Linked DNA regions of Canis lupus familiaris. The protein of the gene in region 1 purifies or fractionates together with the protein of each later gene. This does not show direct contact. Links are inferred from orthologs where the notes say so. Each region holds a gene or a part of one and is shown on either strand. Other genes may lie near its edges.

Region 1 (4,270 bases):
CAACATTTGAACATCAAGATAGCACACACAAAATAAAGGAGTAGCAGATTCCACTCTTCTCACAGACCAGGAGTAGAAAAGACTAAATATTCATACCACATAGAAGTCCAGGCCGTAGATACCAATGCTTGGGTCATATTTGATCCCCAGATCGATGTGCTCCTGGATCCCAAAACCAAAGTTTCCAGTATCGGAGAAGTTATTTTTTCTTAACTCATACTCTCGCACCTAAGGAGACAAATGCAGCAATCATATCCCTCGTCAATTCAAATCCCCCCAAATTATTAGTTTAGTCCTCATCACTCAGCACCCTGAGATACAATTCGATATAATTTGATCATGAACAAAAATCTCATTTCCCCACGACACCAAATCACAACCCACGATAGGAGTTTCTAGAGCTAAAAAAAAAAAAAAGAAAAGAAGAAGCAGTTCATAGAGCTTTCCCAATATTTAAAAGGCATTGAAAAACCCAGAGAAATCATTCAAGAATAAAGTTTAAAACCTTGTTGGGTGCAGGAAACACCCTTTAGAGGTTCAAAAAAATTTCAAATTAAAAAAATATATCAAGGGACCAAAGACAGTGTACAAAGTATAACCACTGCCACTGTAATTATCTAGTTGTTAACACATAAGCTGGTGCTCTTTATTATCCCATGAGGGGATCAGCCTCACCTTTAGACCTTTCTCCAGGATTTCTTCTGCTTTGGCCCCACGGACTGTGCAGTGGACAGCAATCTTTTCATTTCTCCTGATACCAAAGGATCTAACCGTGTACCTAGCTGCAGGAGGGGAAAACAAGGAGTCAGGTATCACACTCCCACTGCACTCACCTCTTCCCTAGAACATCATCTCCACAATTCTAAGACACATTAAATATCCACCCACATCCTAAGTGCTGGCATTCCTACCAGTGTCACCTACATCTGGTTTCATCCATAGCACAGAAAACAGATTTTTCAACTTCCAAGTCATTCAATCATACTTAAGCAATTAAGAGCTCAAAGTCACATCTAAGTCTCAGGACGGGCCAAGTTCACAGCCAGAAGAGGCCACTAGAAAGGAATATGGTCACTGTATTCTAAAGAAAACAAAACATTATTGATAATTCTCTAATGTTATCCTGTTATAGATGAGGTTCTGGGAGGTTAACTTGCCCCAAATCACAGTTGGTAACAAAAGGCAGGATCTAAACCCAACAATGTGCCATACTGCATTATCCTAAAGCAAAGAAACTTAACGATGCTAATGTCCACGCTGGGCTTGGTATGTAGCAGGCACTTCATAAAATCTATTTTATTTTTCACAATCTTATTATCATCTCATTTAGGCAAATAAGGAAGCTGAGACCCAGAAAGGCTGAGGCCAGACCCGCAAATGATGGGGCCAGGATTTGAACCCAGTTGGCCTAGGCACAGAGCCCTTCTCCATGTAGCCTATAAATTCTCAGTGAGTCATTCAAGCCAAATATCACCTAGTGCATTCCTAATGTTTCTAACTTTACCCGGAAAAATCTCTACTTAGGCTGGCCCTGGCTGAAGCTCTGCTAACTTAAAGACCTGGTATTCCAAAACCAAACCCGTCTTGAAAGGAAAATACTTTGGGATCCCTGGGTAGCTCAGCAGTTTGGCGTCTGCCTTCGGCCCAGGCAGTGATCCTGGAGACCCAGGATCGAGTCCCACATCAGGTCCCTGCATGGAGCCAGCTTCTCCCTCTGCCTCTCTGTGTCTCTCATGAATAAATAAAATTAAATAAAACAAAGGAAAATACTTCTTGGGTAGCTCAGGATGGTGATGCTTTTTAAGGGGCATCAACTGTCACTTTCAAAACGGGCACTGAAGAGGCTGTATACCAGGTAAATTAGAAAAGAACATGCAGGGATGTTCTCTCCCCTGACGGCCACCACTGACCTTTGGAGAACACTGGGGTCTGGCCCGTGAGCTGCTCCAGCACCTTGGCCGCGCGGGTCAGTCTGTCTCCACTCTCCCCCACACAGATGTTGAGGCAGAGTTTGCGGATGCGAAGCTCCCGCATGGGGTTCTCCTTTTCACCTTGATCCTGCTGCAACGAGGGAAGCGCAGCAGTCAACACGCCACCCCGCCACAGCTCCGAGTCCCACATCTGTAGACACCGCCTACCTAGTTCTGCTCATCCCGGTTCCTAACGACAGCCTTACGGGCTTGCAAAGCATCGCGGTGTCTGTGCACCAGCTCGGGAGCTGGGCTCCCCCTCCGCGCCAGGAATGGACGAACAGAAACTTGGGGCAGGTAGCGGGAGTTCGAACCCCAAGGGGCTCACCCCCGTAAGGTGTCGGAGCGCGCGTCCCCGCTACAAAGCCGACGGGCAAGAAAATCGGATTTAAACGCCGCTGAGGAAACAGGAAGCGCGTGGTTGGGCGACGTCCCCCATTCCTTTCGGAAGCAGCCCGGGGGGCAGAGGGCAGGCGGCCTCCTCGAGCGGAGGGGCGGGCTGCGGCTCCCTAAGCACCCGGCAAGCCTCAAGTCCCCGGGACGGGGAACAGGTCCAGCCCCTCCGTTCGCTCCGTCGCCCTCCCCGCAGCTGACGCGCCGCGCTCCGCTCGCCCTCCCGGCGGCCGCCCCCAGCCGGCTGAGGAGCGGGAGGGGAGCGGGAGTGGAGGGGGCAGGGCTCGGCTCCGCGGCCTCGGCCCGCATGGCTCTGCCAGTTCCGCCACGGCGAGCCTTACGGGCTCCCTTCTCCGGCCGCGGACGAGGCAGCTCCCGCCTCGGATGAAGGCGGATGGAGGCGGATGAAGAGAAGCAAAGCAGGGCCTCAGCTACTCACCGCCATGGTGGAGAACAGGAAGAGAGGGCGAAGCTTCCGGCCCAGGGCCTTATGGGTCAGGAGGCGGGCTCTCTCCCCAGGCTGCCCCGCGGGCCGCGGCGGGCGGCGGGCGGCGGGCGGGCGGGCGGGTGGGCGCCGCCTGGTCCCCGGGACGCGGGTTTTCCAAAAATAGTTTTTTAAAGCTTTTCCTTGAGCTTCCGGTCTCCACGGGCGCCCTTCCCTCCCACGGTCTCCGGACCTCGTGGTTCCTGGCGTGAACCGACTTCCAGGGCCACGTGAAATCAGTCGTGCAAATCGCCAAGTAGGGGATCCCTGGGGGGCTCAGCGCCGCCTTCGGCCCGGGGCGTGACCCTGGAGACCCGGGGTCGAGTCCCGCAACCGGCTCCCTGCACGGAGCCTGCTTCTCCCTCTGCTGCCTCTCTATCATGAATAAAATAAAATCTTAAAAAAAAAAAAAAAAAAAAACTAAAAAAAAAAAAAAAGAAAATCTTAAACTTATTCGGGGACAATGTGAACATGTGGAATTTATAGTTAGAACAGAGGTGGCTGAAGAGCCCTGAGCTGTGGAGACGCAGTCGTGCTCTAGTTAACCCAATACGCGACCCCGGCCAGGTTACTAATTAGACCCTCTTTGAGCCTCAGTTTTCCTCAGCTTTAAAATGGGTACCTAGATCATAGGAGATTGTTGTGAAAGTTAAATGAAGTAATTGTGTAGAGCACGCATAAGGGGTTACGCTTTTATTTTTTTTAATTATTTATCTATTCATGAGAGACAAGAGAGAAGCAAGAGACAGGCAGAGGGAGAAGCAGGCTCCATCCCAGGATCCCCTGGATCACAACCTGAGCTGAAGGCAGACGCTGAGCCTCTGAGCCACCCAGCTGCCCAAGAAGGGATTTCTCTTAATATAAACCCACTATATCCAAGCAACCCCCTTCCCCCGCCCCCCAAAAAATGTTAGACATGGTGTATAATCAACAGTCATCCTGCACGCCCAAAGATGGGTTGCAGATTAGTCTGACAGACAAAGGCTCTGCTGGCAAACAATAAGCCAGCTCTGCTGGCTTCCCGGTTTACACTAATTCTCAGCAGCAGCACCGCAGGGAGAACCTGGCATTGAATCCACCAGTTTCTTTAACAGGAATAAATAGCCAAAGGACTTTGGTGGAAAAGGAGACAAGCCTCTCACTTCTACCATTAAACCCCCAGGTTCTCCTTGTTTCATCCAATAGGCACACATGGGACTTCTGGGAAGCTGGGCTGATAGAGAAAAGAGACACACACGCACCCAACACCCCCCAACCACACTTTTGATTTTCCTCCATCAGGCACCCACCAACTAGCCCAGAGCAGAGGCCTCAACCAAAGCTCTGGGAGGAACAGAGCCAAGGGAGGGGCTGCTCCAAAGCTTGGAATAAAGAGCTCAGACTGCTGAATGCAACAGATGACCTTGGATTTTCTTTTGCTATA
Region 2 (4,247 bases), on another chromosome or scaffold:
TGACTAAGGCAGATTAAGTTCATTGACGTTTGTGTTTTAGACACATCTTTCAGAACGGATGAAGAATCTAATTACCAAACAAATTAAGACCAGCTAGCAAAATGCCACGCTCAGCAAGTCCCCATGGTAGAGGCTGCCTCAGCAGAACTCACAGTCGTGATGAGTTTCCAAGTGCCACAATGTTGTGATCTAAAGTTCCGCATTAAAAAACAAGTTTTCTGGCTGCTTTCATAACCACAGTCCTATATAATTTGTTAAAGAAAAACCAGATTTCTATCTGAAGGATATTTAACTTGAGATTTAATGTGCTATCCATGGAGGCTGAAGCTGTGAGGAATAAAACCTCCACTGGTCATACAGTCTTGTGACACAATCACTGTTTCACCACCCGCTGCCCACGTCTTGAACCAAAACTCCGCCATTTATCATAACACCACCCATATAAGATGATATTTGAAAACATACTACTCCTAGTTGGGGAAAGTGGCAGTGGGAATATCAAAGGTTACGAGGTCTCAGCTACAAGTCCGGGGCATGAAGGAAAGGGGAGGAGGACAATGTGTAATGCTCACCTGCGCTCCTTTTGCCTGTACATATTCAGGCGCCGGATGGTGGCCCGGTCCCTCATGTTTTGGCCCCCTGCTCCCTGCACTCGATCTAGGAAAGACAGAAGCCGACCGCAAACTATTTGATAACCAAGCTTAAGTACAGTCAGAGCCTCAAACACATCAACTAGTTCACTCAAAGTAGGCAAGCTGCGGCCTGGCTGCAAAATCTCTTTCTCTTTCCCTCTATCATTCCAACGGAATTATTATCACTGGAAGCTACGTGGTAGGACAAAGCTGACCTGATCTTTGATCCTCAGTATGACTGTCGTTTGATAAGAGTTAATAATTTTGAGCATTAACTGTGGCACTGTGCGATCCGCATTACAGGCATCACCTCGTGTAAGCCATATGATAATCCTATAACGAGATACACTATCCTCATTCTGCAGGCTAAGAAACTGAGGTACAGGTGGCCAGATCACCTTGCCCAAATCGCACAGCTACTAAGTGGCAGAGCCAGAATTTGAACAAAAGCATTACATTACCATCTGGGCTCTTACCTGTCTCAGTTGGAACAGATTGAGTGCCTGCTACAGGCAAGGCATCGTGGAGACTACAAGTTTGATACTCAAGTGTTCCTTACGTACCAGTTTCTTCATTTCTTACTGTTTTAGTTCGATAAACAGCAAAGAAAGTGGAAGTTTTTGCTTTACGGCTCAGAGAGAAAGACAAGGACAAATCAGCATTGCTAACACTAGCCCAGCTTTCCTTTTGGGGGATGACGTCAAGTCACCTGTCTACTCCTGAAGTGATAGAGTAGAAATCAGGCTGACATCCCAGCACTGGCCGCTCTGCTGCTCACGAGCTGCGCCAACCAACCAACCAACCAACCAACGGTGATTAGCGACTTCCCCAATTTTGGCTCCATCTCTTCCCCCTGTAACATCATAACCTCTAAAAGGCCTTTTCGGGGTCTAACAGTCTAAGATTCCAGTCTACGCATATCAGATAATTTATCAGCAATCCAGGAAAAACATTCGACGTGAACTAAAGTTCTCAAAAAACTTTTTTTAAAAACAAAGTTTTATTAACTAAACCCAATAGAAGGGATCCCCCCTACCCCCCACCCCCCAAACCACCTTGTTCATCCTGCACGTGGGAACTCAGTAGAACTAAACATCTCTAAAAACACCCTTATTTAGGGATGTCTGGGTGGCTCAGTGAGCATCCACCTTCAACCCAGGGCGTGACCCCGGGGTCCCGAGATCGAGTTCCCCCATCGGGCTCCCTGCACAGAGCCTGCTTCTCCCTCTGCCTCTGTGTCTGCCTCTCTCTCTGTGTCTCATGAATAAGTAAATAAAAATCTTAAAAAAAAAAAAAAAGTCTTTGGGACGCCTGGGTGGCTCAGCGGTTGAGCATCTGCTTTGGCTCAGGGTGCGATCCTGAGGTCCCAGGATGGAGTCCCACGTCGGGCTCCCTGCATGGAGCCTGCTTCTCCCTCTGCCTGTGTCTCTGCCTCTCTCTGTGTCTCTCTCGTGAATAAATAAATAAATAAAACCTTAAAAAAATAAAAAATAAGTAAAAAAATAAAAAAAATAAATCTTTACTGGAATGATCACCAGGTATCCATCTGTAGGGTTTTCTGTGCCCTTTACAGGCGGGATTTGCCTCCAAAGGCCAAATGTAGAACCCCCCACCCCCCTTTCTCATTTAAAGGGTCAAAGGCAGCCAGAGGGGCAGGGAGGTGCGCCAGCCGGGTCTGCCCTACACCAACCACCCTGTAATGGGGCTTTATCTAATTTGCTTCTAGCAATTCCCTGGGCTGGAAAGCTGCAGTCCTCCGGGGCTGAAATACACTGGGGACAGGCTGATGCCCCACACAGGACCTCGGGCAACTGGAGATGCCCCAGGGCTGCCAGGCCTGAGCGTTCACTGCCCCCGCCCCCCCTGCCCTGAGAGCCGTGCAAGAGGTCAGGGCCCCCGAAAGGAAAGCACCACCTCGTCCCGGCTCGGCCCCAGCATCCCCCGGCCCCGGCGCCCCTCCTCCCTCTCGGCCTCCTCCGAGCCCCCCTCCGGAGCCCCCGCCGCCCGTACCAGGGTTGGTGCTGGCCTTGGAGGGGTTGATGGTGCTCCGTCCTTTGTACCTGGGCTTCACCATCTTGCCGACCCGACGGGAACCGGGGCGCTAGGCCGAGGGAGCCCTGACCGGTCAACTAAGCCCGCAGCGCCGCAGGACCCGCCGAAGCGCCCCCTTCCACAACCACGCCGGACCACGTGGGCGCGGGCGACGTCACTTCCGCTCGCGTCCCGCGCGACTTCCTGCGAACGCGCGGCGCGCGCCGCCGCGCCCTTGGCCCCGCCCCGGCGGAGCCCCGCCCCCTTTAGCGGCCGTCCCGCGGAGACCCCGCCCCCTTCGCTGCCTAGCAACCGCCAAGCTGACGCCTGGGTACCAGGCCCCGCGCGAGCTCCCGGGGGCCCAGGCCCAGGCCGGCCGGCCGCACGAGCTTGTGCTCCACTGTCTTCTGAGGTTGTCCTCTAACTCTTACACAAGGCGAGGACCATACAGCAAAGTAGCAGTCGGGGCTTCTCACTTTTCTTAAAACTCCAACAGCGAAAAAAAAAAACCACCAAAAAAAATTCCTCCAACAGCACATCATCATCCTCCCTCTTAAAGAGAGATTGAAAGAAACTCACAACCCCTTACCATCCCTACAGAATTCTGCAGGGTCTGGCCCCTGCCTATTTCACCTCATTTGCACCTCCCTCCCTCCCCGGATTCTGACATTTACACTAGATCCCTCCACCTGAGTCTCTCTTCCTTGAACACTTGCGTAGCTGGTTCCTTCTGCTCTTTCCCTTCTCAGCTCGGATGTCACCTACTGGTAGGGTCGCAAGATTTCGTAAATAAAAATACATGAGACCTGGTTAAATTTGCATTTCAGATAAACATATATACGTGCTGCCGAAGCGAGCACTGCATTTCAGGTAAACGATAATTTTTAGTGCAAGTATGTTCCATGCAATATTTGGGTGGTCCTTTCACTTAAAAAAAAAAACCTAATAGTTTATCTGAAATGCAAATTTAACTGGGCATCTGGGATTTTTATCTGGCAATATTTTCTACTGGGAGAAGACTTTCCTGTCTGATCTTTCCAAATCAGTCATCTACTGCCCTTCTGCAGTTATTCTGTTTTATTTCCTTCATGGCATTTATCACTAGCTGCAATTATGTTATGTACAGGTCTATTGAGCATCTCCAAAGCTAGAATATACGTTTCTTGAGAGTAGGGGCCTTGTAAGTTTGTTCACTACTGTAACTCCACATCTTAGAATAGCACTTGACACACACAGTAAGGACTCAATAAATATTCACTGAATGAAGGAATGGATAGATGGAGTTTTTAGCTCAGTCTGTTGTAACAAAACACCATGGACCAAGTGCTTTAAACAACACACATTTTTAAAAATTTTTTAAATTTTTTATTTATTTATTAGAGAGAGAGAGAGAGACAGGCAGAGGGAGAAGCAGCCTCCACGCAGGGAGCCTGACATGGGACTCGATCCTGGGTCTCCAGGATTATGTCCTGGGCTGAAGGCAGCACTAAACTGCTAAGCCACCGGGGCTGCCCACAACACACATTTATTTGTCACAGTTCTGGAGGCTGGGAAGTCCAAAGGCAGGGTGCCCGATAGTTGCGT
Region 3 (4,081 bases), on another chromosome or scaffold:
CGTCCTCGTCTTCTGTCAAAAAGTCACTGCTGCTGTCGCCAGGCTCAGTCCTTCCCAGGTCCTTTCTGGTGAACAACTCGGCTGGAAGGCACGGAGGGACGGGCAATTTCAGCTTAGCTTCACCGTCTGCACAGGGCTGAGCAGGGGGTGGCCAGCCAGGGCCCAGGACTCGAAGTGGAACAGACGGAGGCATAGACCAGACAGCCAGGACCCAAATCTGCAGGAAGTGGGGTGGGGGGGGCAGTCCCACTTACGTGGGTACAGGTCTGTCATGCTGTCCTCACTGTCACTGGCAGCTGCATCGTCCTCGCTGGATGCAGGTTCCCAGAAGGCTTCTCTTGAGTGAGGTGGCCCAGTGCCGTCCATCTGGGCTTCCTTCCTCCTCCTCTTGTGCAGGAGGCAGGCGGGCACATATTCCACACCCTGCTTCTGACACTTTTCATCTGGAAGACAGACCAGCACACTGCCTGGTTCTGTGCCTGCCCCTGTCCTCCAGTGTAGGGCCATGCAGGGGTGGGGCCTTGAGCACTGAACCCCCCAGCCCTTCCCTGGCCTCAGGAGCCCCAGGGAGGGCTGCTGGGCCCTCACGCCGGAGCCACAAGGTCCCATGTAGAGGACTCAGTGAGGCCAGGAGCTCAGCGTGGCAGATCCAGATTGAGCCGAGATGAGGAGCAGGGTGGCACCGACGAGCCTGGCTTCTGAACCCTGCCCTGTGTGGGCATGGCTCCTGTCCATGCAGGCCCCTCAGAGAGGAGGGAGGGGACTGGGCCCCCTGGTCTGATGTCTGCTTCTGCCCTCCTCCAAGGACATATCCTCTGCCTCACCTCTGCCCCACAGGGCCTTGTGGCCACTGGGCTCTGCACCCGGGTCTCCTCTCTGCACTCCCAGCCGCTGGACCTATGAACCACCTACCCCAACATAGGATGAGTCTAGCCTGTGGGGAAACCCAGGACCTCCTTCCCGCCCACACCAAGCAGCCCTCAGTCTCTGCACCCGCGTAGGATGCCTGCTTCTCAGCTGTCCACAGCATCCCTCACTACTGTCCTGAGGTGAAGACTGTGCCTCGTTTCTTCCTGGGAGAAACCCCGCCTTCAGAGTTCTCTTCCTTATCCTGTCTCTGTGTCTGTCCCCAAAGCCCCTGGTCGTCCCAGCACTCCTAAAACTTCTGCCCCTGACCCCTCCACCTGGCTCTTCTCACCCTTCTGGGCTCCTTCGTGGTCAGGCCCAGCCCCATCCCTTCTTCCTTCGCTCCGTGTCGGTGATGTGCACCCTCTGAGCGCTGGCCCGACTTCAATAGCCACCGTCCCCCGACACAGGTTGAAAGGAACATTTCATTTCCTCAGGGGGTCTCTTATCCAGAGGCCACTTTCCAAACCGCCGGTCTTGAGCCAGGAATTGAGGAATCCAGGTGATTTCTGACCTCATTCCCTCACCTACTGATTCTAGCCACAGACAGTTCTGCCTGTCCGCATCTTCCCTACCCACAGTGGTGGTGCCACAGCCCTGCTTCTGTCCTTTCAATGCATCTCCACCTCCCGTGGTCCAGGCCATGGCCTCCAAGACCCCCTGTGGTCGTCTCCACCTCCCTTGCTGACTGACCTCCCCTTGCATGGTGGCATGGAGGCCGTCCTTCAGGAGCTGCGGCAGCCAAGCGTTCTTCTGACCTTGGCTGAATCCCTGCCTCTACTCTCCACAGACAGCCCTCGGCACCCGTCCTTCACAGCACGTAGCAGTCACCAGCCGCCTGCTTCATCCCCACCTCCAGCCCCATGCCTCCCCAGGGCTGGGCCCAGGGCACCACCAGCGGCTGCCAGTGGGTGACTGAGACGCCGCTGCTGCCTTCCAAGGGCGCTTGTCCTGGAGGAGAGAGCAGGCCGTGTCCACCCACGGCTACTTACATTCACACAGGGCTCTCTGGTACCGCTGGCCCTGGGTGTGCCTCAGCACATGCTCTGGGGACTTGTTGATGTGCCGCAGGGTGAGTTTGCAGAACAGCTGGTGCCTGGGGGACAGGGACAGTCATGAGGATCTCAGCCAGCCTGACAGCAGAGGCCTAGGATGGGGCCTGGGCAGCAGGCGGTCCCCTCTGCAGCCGAGGCGGACGAGCACTGGTCCGGCCGGGCTGTGACCTCCCGCGGTTGGCCTGGAACCCAGGCCTGGCCAGCCTCAGCGGCCCGCCCCCGCTCCAGGGATGCGGGAAGACGCGGCGGCCCGGCCGAGCGCGAAGCAGCAGCCCCCAGCGCCCTCTTCCTGTCAGCCCCTGCCCGCAAACAGCGGCGGCTCCACCCAAGTCCTCCCTAGGTATGTGAAACTGGCCCCATTCCGAACCCGAAGGGACAGACCTCGGCCCCACGAGAAGCAAACAGGCCGCGGGGAGGGGCCCGGCCTCCCCCGGCTGTCGGCTGCCGTCGGTACCTCACCACGGTGGGCACGTCCCCTCGGAGCCCGCCCGCAGCGGCCCCGCGCACGTACGGGTTCTTGGTGCTGGGCACGATGTGCGGCTCGAACTCCGCGTAGTCGAAGGCCGGGTTGGCGCGGACCAGCCGCCGGTATTTCTTGCCGCGGGTGTAGACCTCGAGCTCCGGCAGACGGCAGGGCAGCTCGTGGCCGGTGAGGACGCACTTGACCTGCGGGCAGGAGGGCGGGCGAGGCGGTCAGGGGGGCCCGGGCGGCCGCGCGGCGCCGCGCCTCTCCCCCGGCCCGCGGACCTTGTGCGCGCCGGGCTCCAGCCGCAGACTCGGGTGCTGGCGCAGGAAGGCGCGCACGGCGGCCGGAGGCTCGCCCATGGTCAGACCCGCAGGCGGGCGCCGCTCGCACCGCGTGGACCGTGCGCCGGGGGCGGGGCTCGGCGGTGCCCCGGAAGCAGATGCCTCGCGGCCCGGAAGTGCCGGCGGGCGATGGCGGCGGCCGTGCGGTGGCTGGGGCTGCGGGCGGCGGCGGCGGCGGCGGAGGGGCGGGTGAGCGGCGCGGGCGCGTCGGGCGGGCTGGGGGCCAGCGTCCCGGCTTGGGGAGCTCAGCCTGTGTCCCGGTCTCCGCAGGGCCCGCCCCGCGCGGTCAGGAGGAGCGTCCTTGCGGTCCCCCTGCGCCCAGGTGAGGACTGGCTCGCGGGTGCCCCGGGCGCCCGGGAAGAGCCGCCCCCGCCCCCGTCCCCGCCCCCGTCCCCCGCTCTGCCCGGGGGCCGCGGCCTTGAGGGGAGCTCGGAGCTGCCCCCTTCCAGCGCCTGATGGGGTTTGAAGGCCGGGAGCCTGGGACCCGCGGCCTGCGGGCTGCGCGTGCACCGACAGCCGGGAGCGGGGCGCCGCGCGAGGGGGAAGGGTGCTCGTCAGCGCGCTGCAGCCTTTTTTTTTTTTTAAACTGTCCACAAAGCCCGTGTTGCTGACTTGAGACTCACGCTCCGACAACTAAAATATACTTTCTGAGTACGTTGTTCCAGCTTTAAGTTTACGAGCAGTGGAAAGGAAGGTGTTCGAGCGCCGTGAGCCGTGAGCCGCGATCCCGGGTTTTCACGGTTCTGCCTCTGCGCGGGTGCGTCTTAGTGCAATGTATTGTTGTGCACAATGTCGTGCACAATGTAATACATGTGCACATAGTGCGCAGGGAATTGTTGTGTAAAAGGCGCAGGTGGTTACAGGAGTTACCCGGGGTCACAGCTGGTGGCACAGCAGGACTAAGCCCTAGGCCGTGTTTATTCAGTCAGTAAACATCACCGAGTGTGCAGCGTGTGGCCCCAGTTTAGAAGCTGGGCTGGACGCAGGTGTCACTGGTTGGCTGCTGGCCACAGGCTGTGGCCTGTTTACTGTCTGGCAGTAGTGGTGGCGTCTCCTTGAGGGATTGGCTGCTCCCATTCTATTTGTCAAGGGCTTCTGACCCTGGGCCTGTGGTGTTGAACTTCCCAGGGTTGGCCTGGAGGCCAAGCAGGTGTGGCAGTTCTGCAGCTGAAGCACCTGCCACAGAAGCACAAGAGGACTCCTTCCTCCAGTGGTTCCTGCTTCTCATTCCTGTGACAGCCTTTGGCCTGGGGACATGGCAGGTAAAGCCTGACTTCTAGCTCTGGAGGCTCTGAGCTTTTGCCGTTGCTGCC

Evidence for each region. The genes of interacting proteins can lie anywhere in the genome.
Region 2: the proteins of RPL11 (region 1) and GNL2 purify together in Homo sapiens (co-immunoprecipitation; 3 studies listed by BioGRID and IntAct, with this or other methods). This does not show direct contact. The link is inferred for Canis lupus familiaris from reciprocal best matches to the Homo sapiens genes RPL11 and GNL2.
Region 3: the proteins of RPL11 (region 1) and SURF2 purify together in Homo sapiens (affinity purification with mass spectrometry; 3 studies listed by BioGRID and IntAct, counting the BioPlex papers as one, with this or other methods). This does not show direct contact. The link is inferred for Canis lupus familiaris from reciprocal best matches to the Homo sapiens genes RPL11 and SURF2.

What each region holds. Positions count from the first base shown.
Region 1 is NC_049223.1:75,176,880-75,181,149, forward strand, and holds the start of RPL11 (60S ribosomal protein L11), read right to left. Parts: upstream 2,832-4,270; 5' UTR 2,809-2,831; coding exon 2,803-2,808; exon of another isoform or gene 2,663-2,802; intron 2,062-2,662; coding exon 1,911-2,061; intron 783-1,910; coding exon 676-782; intron 229-675; coding exon 97-228; intron 1-96.
Region 2 is NC_049236.1:4,965,290-4,969,536, reverse strand, and holds the start of GNL2 (nucleolar GTP-binding protein 2), read right to left. Parts: upstream 2,846-4,247; 5' UTR 2,707-2,845; coding exon 2,643-2,706; intron 658-2,642; coding exon 573-657; intron 1-572. UniProt on the Homo sapiens protein: GTPase that associates with pre-60S ribosomal subunits in the nucleolus and is required for their nuclear export and maturation.
Region 3 is NC_049230.1:49,844,928-49,849,008, reverse strand, and holds the start of SURF2 (surfeit locus protein 2), read right to left. Parts: upstream 2,846-4,081; 5' UTR 2,787-2,845; coding exon 2,709-2,786; intron 2,628-2,708; coding exon 2,416-2,627; intron 2,003-2,415; coding exon 1,899-2,002; intron 444-1,898; coding exon 255-443; intron 82-254; coding exon 1-81.